Callithrix jacchus: one gene and its partners. The protein of the gene in region 1 interacts with the protein of each later gene in a pairwise test. Links are inferred from orthologs where the notes say so. Each region holds a gene or a part of one and is shown on either strand. Other genes may lie near its edges.

Region 1 (3,746 bases):
TTAGTGTGATCACTGGATAGGTTCTTCCTGCCTGCTTCACAAATAAAATCAATTCGAGGAGACCTCGGCATTGCAGTGAAGAAAGAGTTTAATTGATGTGAGGCTGGCCAGGCCATGTGGGAGATGGAGTTATTACTCAAATCAGTCTCATCCAAGGCTAGTAGCTTAGGGGTTTTTCAAAGGCAGTTTGGTGGGCAGGAGCTAGGTTATGGGAAGTGCTGACTGGCTGGGTTGGAGACGAACTCCTAGGGGGTCAAAGGAAGCTGCCTCTTGTACTGACTTGTGTGTGGGCAGGGCCACAGGAGCAGTTGACTGGTCCAGGAGGAGCCATCAGTGTCAGGCATGCAAAAAATCTGAAACGATATCTCAAAGGGCCAAACTTAGGTTCTACAATAGTAATGTTATCTGCAGGAGTAAATGGGGAAGTTGTCTATCTGGTGGCCTCCGGAATAATGGCTGGCAATGGTCTATGTCTACACCTTAACAAACAGAAGTCAGGCTCTGCTATCCTCCTAGCCTGGTGGTCTCTCATTTAGCTTTACAAAGGCAGTTGAGTTTTGGGAAAGGGCCATTATCATTTAAACTATAAACTAAGTGTCTCCCAAAGTTAACTTAGCCCAAGCTCAGGAATAATTAAGGGTAGCTAAAGGCAAGATAGGGGTTGGTTAAATCAGATCTCTCCCACTGTCATAATTTTCTCACTGTTAGAATTTTTGCGAAGTCTGTTTCATCAGTACCCTACTCATTTAGGTGAAATAAACAATGGGTATTTTATGTGTTCCGATGAGTATCAGTATCACATAACTGTCAGGGCCCCAGGTATCTGTCCCTGTTCAGAAGGATCATGAAGATGAATACTGCGATGCGGACAGCTTGCCCGACTCAGTGAACTCAGAACTTGTCCTCAGTAGCCGGCTCCTGTGGGCCAGGGATTGCAAACTTCGACTTGCCGGCAGTGACACCTGTTTTCCATCATTCTCCTTGCGGTACTTTGTAGCAGGAGCAGCGTGGGAGTCAACAAAGAGAAAGCACAAGCGTCTGTGGAGCGCGGGGTGGAGTCTCGGGAGAGGAGGACCTGGGTGGGAAGAGGCGCGGCAGGAGGCGGTGCCCCGGCTCGCATTGGCTAAGCCCGCGTCCCTCCCCTCGGGGCTGCTGGCGCGCCCGGAAAAGTGGCTTCGCCTGAAGGCGAGAGGCAGAGGTACCCTCGGTGACAGAGGAAACATGGCCGAGTATACGCGGCACAACGCCTTGGCGCTGATCCGCTTCCGAAACCCGCCGGTCAACGTGATCAGGTAACCGGCTCCGTCGCCTCCAGCCCTGGGACCGTGGGGGCCTTATCCGCCCGCGGCTCTGGAGGCTTTGACTGTCCCCGGCTGGTTTAAACGGAGAAAGACACTGACAGTTGAGCAACTGGTATATGCCAGGAGCCTGCCTGCTTTCCCTCCTTCCTTCCTTCCCTCCCTCCCTCTCTCCTTTCTTTCTCTCTCTCCTTACTTCCCTCCTTTCCTCCCCGCCTCCCTCCCTCCTTCCTTCCCTCGCTCCCTCTCTCACTTTCTCTTTCCTTCCTTCTTTCCCTCCTTCCCTCCCTCTTTCTCTCATCTCTCTCTCTCTCCCCTTCCTTCCTTCCCTCCCTCCTTCCCTCCTTGCTTCCTTCCTTCCTTCTTTCCTTCACTCCCTCTCTTCTTTCTTTCTCTCTCTCCTTCCTTCCCTCCCTCTTTCTCTCCTTTCTCTCTCTCTCTCTTTCTTTCCTTCTCCTAGATTAGCTTGGTTAATCTTTGCAGAGAACTCTCGTCCCCATTTTCCTGGTAAGGAAACAGAGGCTGAGACACATGCTAACTTAGGGAGCTGGCGTTGCCCTGTCCGTCCTGGGAACCCTTCTGCTTACTTGCAGCTTTGGCGTCTCTAATGCAAAGGTCTTAACTTAGTTGCATTTTGGACTTTGATCCAGCCTCACTCCCCAACTTTGAGTCCAGGCTGCCCTTACCATGTTTGGCTAAAAGCTTTAGGAATTGGGCAATAAAATGTTTTAACATTAAAAAAAAAAAATGAAGTCCCACTAATGCCAAGGTAGTGATTAAAGCAGAATTGTGCCCTGACTCACAAACGCAAAATTATTTCTCCTGATTTGTTTAAACCTCAAGACTGGTGCTTCCGAGGAAGACTCACATCCAACTAAGCCTGTGTACCAGCAGTTTCTGAAAAACTGCACCTTGTCTTCTTTTTCTCACTGGGGAGTACTTGCCGTGTGTACTGCACTTAAAACATTACTTTAAAAAGTGAGATCAGCCTGGCATGGTGGCTCATGCCTGTAATCCTTGCACTTTGGGAGGCTGAGGCGGGTGGATCACCTAAGGTCAGTAGTCCGAGACCAGCCTGGCCAACATGGTGAAACATCATCTTCACTAAAGATACAAAAATTAGCTGGATGTGGCGGTGCATGCCTATGGTCCCAGCTACTTGGGGCTGGGACTATAGGCTGAAGCAGGAGAATAGCTTGAACCCAGGAAGCAGAGGTTGCAGTGAGCAGAGATCCTGCGCTAATGCACTCTAGCGTGGGCGACAAAAGTGAGACTCCGCCTCAAAAAAAAAAGTGAGATCAGTGTTGTCGTTTTGAATAGTAATGAATTTATTTGGTCCTTCTGCATCTCTTTAAAAAAGTAGTTATACATCAGCCTTGAAAAAAGAATTACCTATCTACAGGGAATAGGATTAGTGGAAATTATAATTTACCAAGAATATATATGGCATAGAGAGAAATGTCTTTGGTCAAAATTCTTATGTGCTGTTGGAGCAAAAAGATTGAAATGAGAAGATCTGCTGATTTTAATAGAATTTAAAAATCTTACTGTCATCAGATTTATCATTAGAATTTTTATTTCGGTATGATTTATTGCATTTAGTAATATGCCAAAAAAATGCAGCACTAAAATCACATAAGGATGACATGTCTACTAACTTGGCATTCCCAGAATAAAAAGCAAAATATCTGTTATGTTGATTTTAACAAAGAAAAATGTAAGTAATATGATTACATGTCCATTTTGGACTGGTCTGTATACTGATTAGAATTGCTAGATGTTAGGACCTTAGGGGGAAAGTTCCATCCTCTAACACCCATGACTAGGCATATTTTCTGGCAACTGTTTTAAATGCTTCTGGAATTTAACCTGTTCTCCCTGCCCACCCATGCCACCACCTGTGCCACCCCCATCCCTTTTTGCAGGAGAAATGTTAGTGTCTACCTCATAAAGTTATAAAGTTTAAATCAGCTGGAAATTGTAAACTGGCATTTAATGGATGTCAGCTATCATTCGTATTAGTCAGAAGACCTATTCAAGCCCTTACCAACAGGCCTTGCTACCCAGGCTCCACTTCAGTTTCATCAGGAAGATTTTCTCCATTTGGAAATAAGGACTTCTCTGCCCTTTTTCATCTGTTTTTTGAACTTTTTTTTAAAGTGGAAATGTACATCCTTGCAGTTCCTCAAGTTTAACAGATTCCTCAATTTTTTTATTTCACTTTTCTTTCCTTCCTCCCTTGCTTCCTTTCTCCTTCCTATTTCTAATTCTATATGGGAAGTCATCTCTTCCCAGCTCATTGAGAGATTCTTACTTGAGTATACACACATACACACACACAAACACACAAACATGTATATACATATATAAATTTTTCCCCCTGAAAAAATAGTTTAAATCCTTCATTGCTAGTTTAGCCAGCCATGTTTGCTTCCATTCAGATAAACA
Region 2 (3,746 bases), on another chromosome or scaffold:
GCAGAGTACGCAGCTCCTGGCATGGCCTAGCATAGTTCACCCACGAGGGTTTGTGGTTTTGGTACGTTTGATCTGACATCCTCAGAGGCCGGACCACCCCCGTAGGAAGCACGACACCCATCTGGAGTTTTCCCGCGAGCCGCCTTGAGAGCCGAGTAAGTTCTGCAGGCCCAGCCCTGGCGTCACACCGTGTCCGACACTCACTGGAGATTCTGTACATAAATCATGGCCAATATTTATTTATTTATTTATTTATTTATATACTACTGACATCAACAGTCGCTATAAAAATAAAACTTAGGCCAGGCGCGGTGGCTCACTCCTGTAATCCCAGCACTTTGGGAGGCCGAGGCGGTGGATCACGAGGTCAAGAGATCCAGGCCATCCTGGTCAACATGATGAAACCCCATCTCTACTAAAAATACAAAAAATTAGTTGGGCATGGTGGCGCGTGCCTGTAATCCCAGCTACTCAGGAGGCTGAGGCAGGAGAATTGCCTCAACCCAGGAGGCGGAGGTTGGCGGTGAGTCGAGATCGCGCCATTGCACTCTAACCTGGGTAACAAGAGCGAAACTCTGTCTAAAAAATAAAAAAATTAAAAAAAATAAAAAAAACTTAAGTCCGGGCGCGGTGGCTCACGCCTGTAAGCCCAGCACTTTGGGAGGCCGAGGTGGGCGGATCACGAGGTACAAAGTTCAAGACCAGCCTGGCCAAAATGGTGAAATCCCCATCTCTACTTAGAGTACAAAAAGTAATCGGTCGCAGTGGCACGTGCCTGTAATACCAGCTACTTGGGAGGCTGAGGCAGAAAAATCGCTTGAACCCGGGAGGCGGGGGTTGCAGTGAGCCGAGATCGTGCCACTGCACTCCAGCCTGGGCGACGGAGCATGACTTTGTCTCGAAAAAATAAAATTTAAAAAGCTATCTAAGCAACAAATATTATTTCGACTGCACAAAGCATCTATTTTTGCAGAGATGCTGTGAGAATGTAGATGTAATGATTCGTCACCACTTCTTTATTGCTGGGCAGTTAGGGAAATTCATCTAAACCATGAGACAGCGTTGGGTTTGCAATTTCTACCGTGGATGCGGAATGCAGAATACAGTTGGAAGGGTGGGGCGACTGCATCCCAACCCTCGCCGCGCTTTCTCAGGCCCCGCCCCCAAGTCAGACCCGGACGATCCTCTGAGTCCTCCACCACAAAGTCGTCTGCCTAGAAGGGCCGGAAGTACGTCAGAGCGCTCCGCGGACCCACCCCTTCGCTTCCGGCATCGGTTGTTGGGAGTACCGGCAGCAGTCGACTGTGCCGGGTGGGTAGGATGGCGCCAGGCCGATGCTGTCATAGCACCGAAGGCAGACGGCCACCAAGCGCTCCCTCCTCCCCCAGAAGTTTCTCCCCAGCGGCCGGGGATGGGGGTAGGCGGTTCCTCTGTTCTCTCTGCTTTCGCCCTGGCCCCGCACCACAGAGACGTGGGCCTCCACCGTCCTAGCCCTCCCGCCCTGTTCTCGAATGCGGGCTAGAGCGTCTCCTCGCCGTTTCCTGTCGTCCTGGGGCCCCAGGGGGAAAAAGGGGGAGTAGCACGACAGCGGAGGAAAGTCGCGAACTTAGGTGGTGTGTCGACGCCGGAAGTGTTTGGAAGGAGGCCGGAAGCTAGGGGCGGGGCCAGGAAGTGAGGAGGGGCGGGGGTTTATGAGGAGTCCAAGGGAGCATTGGGACAGATTTGCACCCAGAGCCACCTGAGGGACTTGAAGGTGGCGCCCAGTTCGGTCCCCATCCCTCCCCTCCCCTCCCCTCGCTGAGACACGGTTGTCGTTCGGGAGTAGGGAACTCTGTGCGGCGGTGTGGGTTGTCTGGAGGACATCTCTCTGGCTGCTCTTGGAGCAAGGTGTGGAGGGGCAGGGCTGGGGGTGGGGCCGGGTCGCCCTGGCGTCGGTGGAGGAAGACCCCCGCCCCCTGCCCCCCACCGCACCTCTACACTGGCTGGCTGGACACTAAGATGGCTGCCGTTGCCATGACACCCAACCCTGTGCAGACCCTTCAGGAGGAGGCGGTGTGCGCCATCTGCCTCGATTACTTCACGGACCCCGTGTCCATCGGCTGCGGGCACAACTTCTGCCGAGTGTGTGTAACCCAGTTGTGGGGTGGGGAGGATGAGGAGGACAGGGATGAGTTAGATCGGGAGGAGGAGGAGGAAGACGGAGAGGAAGAGGAAGTGGAGGCTGTGGGGGCTGGTGCAGGGTGGGATACCCCCATGCGGGATGAAGACTACGAGGGTGACATGGAGGAGGAGGTCGAGGAGGAAGAAGAGGGTGTGTTTTGGACCAGTGGCATGGGCAGGTCCAGCTGGGACAATATGGACTACGTGTGGGAGGAGGAGGATGAGGAGGAAGACCTGGACTACTACTTGGGGGACATGGAGGAAGACCTGAGGGGGGAGGATGAGGAGGACGAGGAGGAAGTGCTGGAGGAGGATGAAGAAGAGGAGCTAGACCCCGTCACCCCACTACCCCCACCTCCCGCCCCTCGGAGGTGCTTCACATGCCCCCAATGCCGAAAGAGCTTTCCTCGGCGGAGCTTCCGCCCCAACCTGCAACTGGCCAATATGGTCCAGGTGATTCGGCAGATGCACCCAAACCCTGGTCGAGGGAGTCGTGTAACCGATCAAGGCATCTGTCCCAAACACCAAGAAGCTCTGAAGCTCTTCTGCGAGGTAGACGAAGAGGCCATCTGTGTGGTGTGCCGAGAATCCAGGAGCCACAAACAACACAGCGTGGTGCCATTGGAGGAGGTGGTGCAGGAGTATAAGGTGAGAGAAGTACAGAGAGAAGATGGGAGTTTAGTGGGGGGCGGAAAGGAAGTAAGGGGAGCTGGGAAAAGGAAAATCTCTTCATCCACCAAAGACCCTGATAGCACTGGTGAACTGTGTTTGCTTATCTAAGCACTTACTGCCACCGGGGTGGGTTAGAATGAGAAGGATCCTGTATACCGAGCAGATGCAGTGAAGACCACCAGGGAATGGTGGCTTTTTCAAATAGAGCAAAGCAGGTGATGCCAGATCAGGTCCCTAGGGCGTTATCAGCAGTCTCCTTTTCTTTCGGGTGAGTCTTAAGTCTATCCTTGACGGAAACACTTAGAGATGGAAAGAACTGGGGGCTTCAAAGAACAAGGAAAGGCTCAAAAGCAGAATACAGAGATGACTGCTAGTATTCAGCGTCAAACCCAAATGCCCTGTACTTAACTCCCAATGGTTTCCCCTCCCACCACAATATGGCTTGGTTCTGCCTTCAAGGACTTTGGTTGATTCTTCTGTGTCAGTCTTATGTACTGACTAGAAAAGAGGAGCTTTTCAGTCAGAAGACCTAGCTCTGCAAGTTGCACTGTCAAATCTTGGTTAAGTGTCTGATCTGAGTGTCTTTGAACTTTAATTTCTCCAGGATTGATAGTTACTTTTCACTGGACGTTTGTATGTATACCTGGCACTGTACTAGGCACTTGTCATGGACTGACTCATTAAAACCCAAACAACACTGTAAGTTTGATAGGTTTTCCATTCCCATTTTATAGATTGGGAAACAAAGTGAGAGGTTTTAAGTACTATACAGAAAGCCACAGAGCTTTAGTAATGATTGACTTGGTTATTTACCATCCCTTCTCCTGGTGTATATTAAAAATGCCACCACCATTTGGATGTCTGTTGTTTATCTTTTCTGATGTGGGACTTTCTTGGAGTTTGATTCTAGTTTG
Region 3 (3,746 bases), on another chromosome or scaffold:
CGAAAACAGGGAGGGGATTCCCCGCGGCCTCCCCAGACTGGGGAGCCGACCTTCAAGAAAGTCAAGATTATGGTCTCTACCTCAGTTTCCCTATAATGTCTACAGGTGAGCAGCATGAAACAAAGGCCTCGCTGCGCACCGCCTACTCAGCAGATAGGGGGCGGGATAGCCCCTACCCGGAGCCTGCGCCTGGGGCAAACCGGGCCTGTGATTTCAGGGACAGGGATGTGTCGGCTCGGGTAGAAAGGGGTATCGGGCTCCAAACCCACGGAGACCCGGGGCGGGGCGCCCCGTGGAGGGACCTGTGGGGTAGTGGCTGCGTTCGGGGACGGGAGGCTTCTTCCTATGGTGACCGGGGCGAGGTGAGGGCTCCCCCGCACCTAGAAACGCCGAGCGCCGGGGATCCCCGCCGCGCCCCTCCCCCAGCCCGGCCCGGGCGTGGAGCCCGAAGGGAAAGCCCGCAGGGGACGTCCCGGGGAGCAAAGCCCCGCAGCGTGGCCCGGACCGCGGGGACCCACCCCAGCTCCCGCATGGCCCCGCCCCGGGTCAGGCAGTTTCGGGGCGCAGCCCGGCCCTCCCCACACGGCAGTCCCGGGTCGCAGCCAGGCCCGTCAGCCCTTCGGCCTTCCGAGCGACCCCGGGAGGGAGACCCCACCCAGCCCCCCTCGCCAGCCCCAGTGTCGCGAGCGCGCGGGGGTGGCGCAGGCGGTGCCGGTGGGAGGTGGTGCGGGCTGGGGGCGGGGCGGACCGGGGCCCCACGTGACCAGGCCGGGCGGGCCAATGAGCGCCCGGCTTTCGGAAAGATCGCCATATATGGACATGTTCTGGGGCCGCGCGCGCCGCCGGGCCGCGCGGGCGCGCTGCTTTCTCTTAAAAAGCGGCGCGGGAGGCCCCAGTCGGTCTCAGTCGCCGCTGCCAGGTCGCGTACGGTGTTCTCTTGCTGCTCCGCTCCCCTGCTCCTCTGCTGGTAAGCGCTCCTCATCGGACCCGAGGAGGATGTTTCTGGCCGTCCCCCCTCGACCCCCGCGGGCCCCGCTTTCCGCCGCGGACGCTTCGCCGCGTCGTTTTCGGGAACAAAAGGCTGGCTCCGCCTGGGTGGGCCACGCGGGTACCGTTGGGCGGATGCCGTAGGTTTAGGGCGGGGCCCGGCCGCAGTGCGGAGTTCGGGGCGGTGGGCTTTACGTAAAAGGCACGGGTGCTGGTTCAAAGCTGTTGTGGTGTTGGAGGCTTCGGCTTCCGGGGTTGGGGTGGAGCGTAACGCTCCTCCGCCGGAGGGTCTTGGTTGGCTCTGGGTGGCGGGGTTGTTTTCCAGCGGGCCCCGCCTGAGTCCGTCGCTTTCCTGGCAGGTCGCAATGGAAGAAGAAATTGCTGCGCTCGTCATCGACAATGGTTCCGGCATGTGCAAAGCTGGCTTTGCTGGGGACGACGCCCCCCGAGCCGTGTTTCCCTCCATTGTCGGGCGCCCTCGGCACCAGGTGAGTGGAGGGCGCCACGGGGCTCCTGGGTTCTGCGCTGCGGGATGGGATCGGGGGCCGCGGCGAGCCTGATGGCAACTCCCTGCAGGGCGTGATGGTCGGCATGGGCCAGAAGGACTCCTACGTGGGCGACGAGGCCCAGAGCAAGCGCGGCATCCTGACCCTGAAGTACCCCATCGAGCACGGCATCGTCACCAATTGGGATGATATGGAGAAAATCTGGCACCACACTTTTTACAATGAGTTGCGTGTGGCCCCGGAGGAGCACCCCGTGCTGCTGACCGAGGCCCCCCTGAACCCCAAGGCCAACAGAGAGAAGATGACTCAGGTGAGGCTCGGCGATGCCCGTGCTCTCGTCCGTTTTCCTAGTCATTTTCTGCCCAGCTTGATTTCTGACATTTAAGTGTTTCTTTCGCTGTTCCAGGCTCTGTTCCTCTCCCGGCATTTCCTCCCTGAAGCCTCCAGGTTTCTTATTTGGTTTCTGCCTGCGTTCTTTTCTGTTCTCCACACATCACACTGGCATGCAGCATGTTGTGGCGTGTGAGCATGGGGTGGTCGCGGGTCCTTGCCCCTGACTAAGCCGTCTCGTCTTCTACCTTCAGATCATGTTTGAGACCTTCAACACCCCAGCCATGTACGTGGCTATCCAGGCCGTGCTGTCCCTCTACGCCTCTGGGCGCACCACTGGTATTGTCATGGACTCTGGAGACGGGGTAACCCACACGGTGCCCATTTATGAGGGCTATGCCCTTCCACACGCTATCCTGCGTCTGGACCTGGCTGGCCGGGACCTGACCGACTACCTCATGAAGATCCTCACGGAGCGCGGCTACAGCTTCACCACCACGGCCGAGCGGGAGATCGTACGCGACATCAAGGAGAAGCTGTGCTATGTCGCCCTGGACTTCGAGCAGGAGATGGCCACAGCTGCATCCTCCTCCTCTCTGGAGAAGAGCTATGAGCTGCCTGACGGCCAGGTCATCACCATTGGTAACGAGCGGTTCCGGTGTCCGGAGGCGCTGTTCCAGCCTTCTTTTCTTGGTAGGTGTTCAGTCTAAGGGCTTCTGAGAGCGCTTTGATTCTGGGCACCATAGCACCACTAAGGGAGGGCTTTGTCCCCTAGGCATGGAATCTTGTGGCATCCATGAGACCACCTTCAACTCCATCATGAAGTGTGATGTGGACATCCGCAAAGACCTGTACGCCAACACTGTGCTGTCTGGCGGCACCACCATGTACCCAGGCATCGCCGACAGGATGCAGAAGGAGATCACTGCTCTTGCGCCCAGCACCATGAAGATCAAGGTGAGTTAAGGGATCGGTGGCCCTCGGCCTGGCTCAGGATGCCTGGCTGGGGATGCTGTGTGAACTCAAGCCATGCCTGGCTGTCTTTGCAGATCATTGCACCCCCAGAGCGTAAGTACTCCGTGTGGATCGGCGGCTCCATCCTGGCCTCACTGTCCACCTTCCAACAGATGTGGATTAGCAAGCAGGAGTACGATGAGTCTGGCCCCTCCATCGTCCACCGCAAATGCTTCTAAATGGACTGCGAGCAGATGCGTAGCATTTGCTGCATGGGTTAATTCGGAAGTATAAATTTGCCCCTGGCAAATGCATACACCTCATGCTAGCCTCATGAAACTGGAATAAGCCTTTGAAAAGAAATTGTCCTTGAAGCTTGTATCTGATATCAGCACTGGATTGTAGAACTTGTTGCTGATTTTGACCTTGTATTCAAGTTAATTGTTCCCCTTATTTGTTTAATACCCTGTACATAGCAGATTTCAACTTTTAGTACATGTGGCTTGGTCACTTCGTGGCTGAGGTAAAAATGTGCTTGGGGGCAGACAAGTCTGCCTTGGTGAGTGCATGGCCAGCAGTCTCTTAGTTGAGCAGGGTATTCATGTGTCAGAGCTTAGTGTTCTGGGATTGCTCTAGAGGCTGGCAAGGGCTGCCAGTCTGTCAGGGTGGGAAAGTCCAAGCCATAGGACCCGGTCTCCTTTCTTACCTGATGTTTTCCTGCCAGAGCACCATGGGCTGTTACTTGCCTTGAGTTGGAAGCGGTTTTCATTTACACCTGTAAATGTATTCATCCTTTTAATTTATGTAAGGTTTTTTTTTTATTGTACACAACTGTCAAATCTTGAAAGAGATGACAACAAATTTCGGTTTTCTACTGTTATGTGAGAACATTAGGCCCCAGCAACACGTCATTGTGTGAAGAAAAATAAAAGTGCTGCCGTAACCGACTGGCTCCTGTGTGGGGAAGTA

The links.
Region 2: the proteins of EHHADH (region 1) and TRIM41 interact in binary tests that used the Homo sapiens proteins (3 or more experiments, as listed by UniProt). The two-hybrid records come from large-scale screens. The link is inferred for Callithrix jacchus from reciprocal best matches to the Homo sapiens genes EHHADH and TRIM41.
Region 3: the proteins of EHHADH (region 1) and ACTG1 interact in binary tests that used the Homo sapiens proteins (3 or more experiments, as listed by UniProt). The two-hybrid records come from large-scale screens. The link is inferred for Callithrix jacchus from reciprocal best matches to the Homo sapiens genes EHHADH and ACTG1.

What each region holds. Positions count from the first base shown.
Region 1 is NC_133516.1:14,236,159-14,239,904, reverse strand, and holds the start of EHHADH (peroxisomal bifunctional enzyme), read left to right. Parts: upstream 1-1,194; 5' UTR 1,195-1,221; coding exon 1,222-1,292; intron 1,293-3,746. UniProt on the Homo sapiens protein: Peroxisomal trifunctional enzyme possessing 2-enoyl-CoA hydratase, 3-hydroxyacyl-CoA dehydrogenase, and delta 3, delta 2-enoyl-CoA isomerase activities. Catalyzes two of the four reactions of the long chain fatty acids peroxisomal beta-oxidation pathway.
Region 2 is NC_133503.1:73,626,821-73,630,566, reverse strand, and holds the start of TRIM41 (E3 ubiquitin-protein ligase TRIM41), read left to right. Parts: upstream 1-1,281; 5' UTR 1,282-1,998; coding exon 1,999-2,808; intron 2,809-3,746.
Region 3 is NC_133506.1:137,174,445-137,178,190, reverse strand, and holds ACTG1 (actin, cytoplasmic 2), read left to right. Parts: upstream 1-898; 5' UTR 899-967; intron 968-1,346; 5' UTR 1,347-1,352; coding exon 1,353-1,475; intron 1,476-1,563; coding exon 1,564-1,803; intron 1,804-2,077; coding exon 2,078-2,516; intron 2,517-2,598; coding exon 2,599-2,780; intron 2,781-2,872; coding exon 2,873-3,016; 3' UTR 3,017-3,720; downstream 3,721-3,746. UniProt on the Homo sapiens protein: Actins are highly conserved proteins that are involved in various types of cell motility and are ubiquitously expressed in all eukaryotic cells.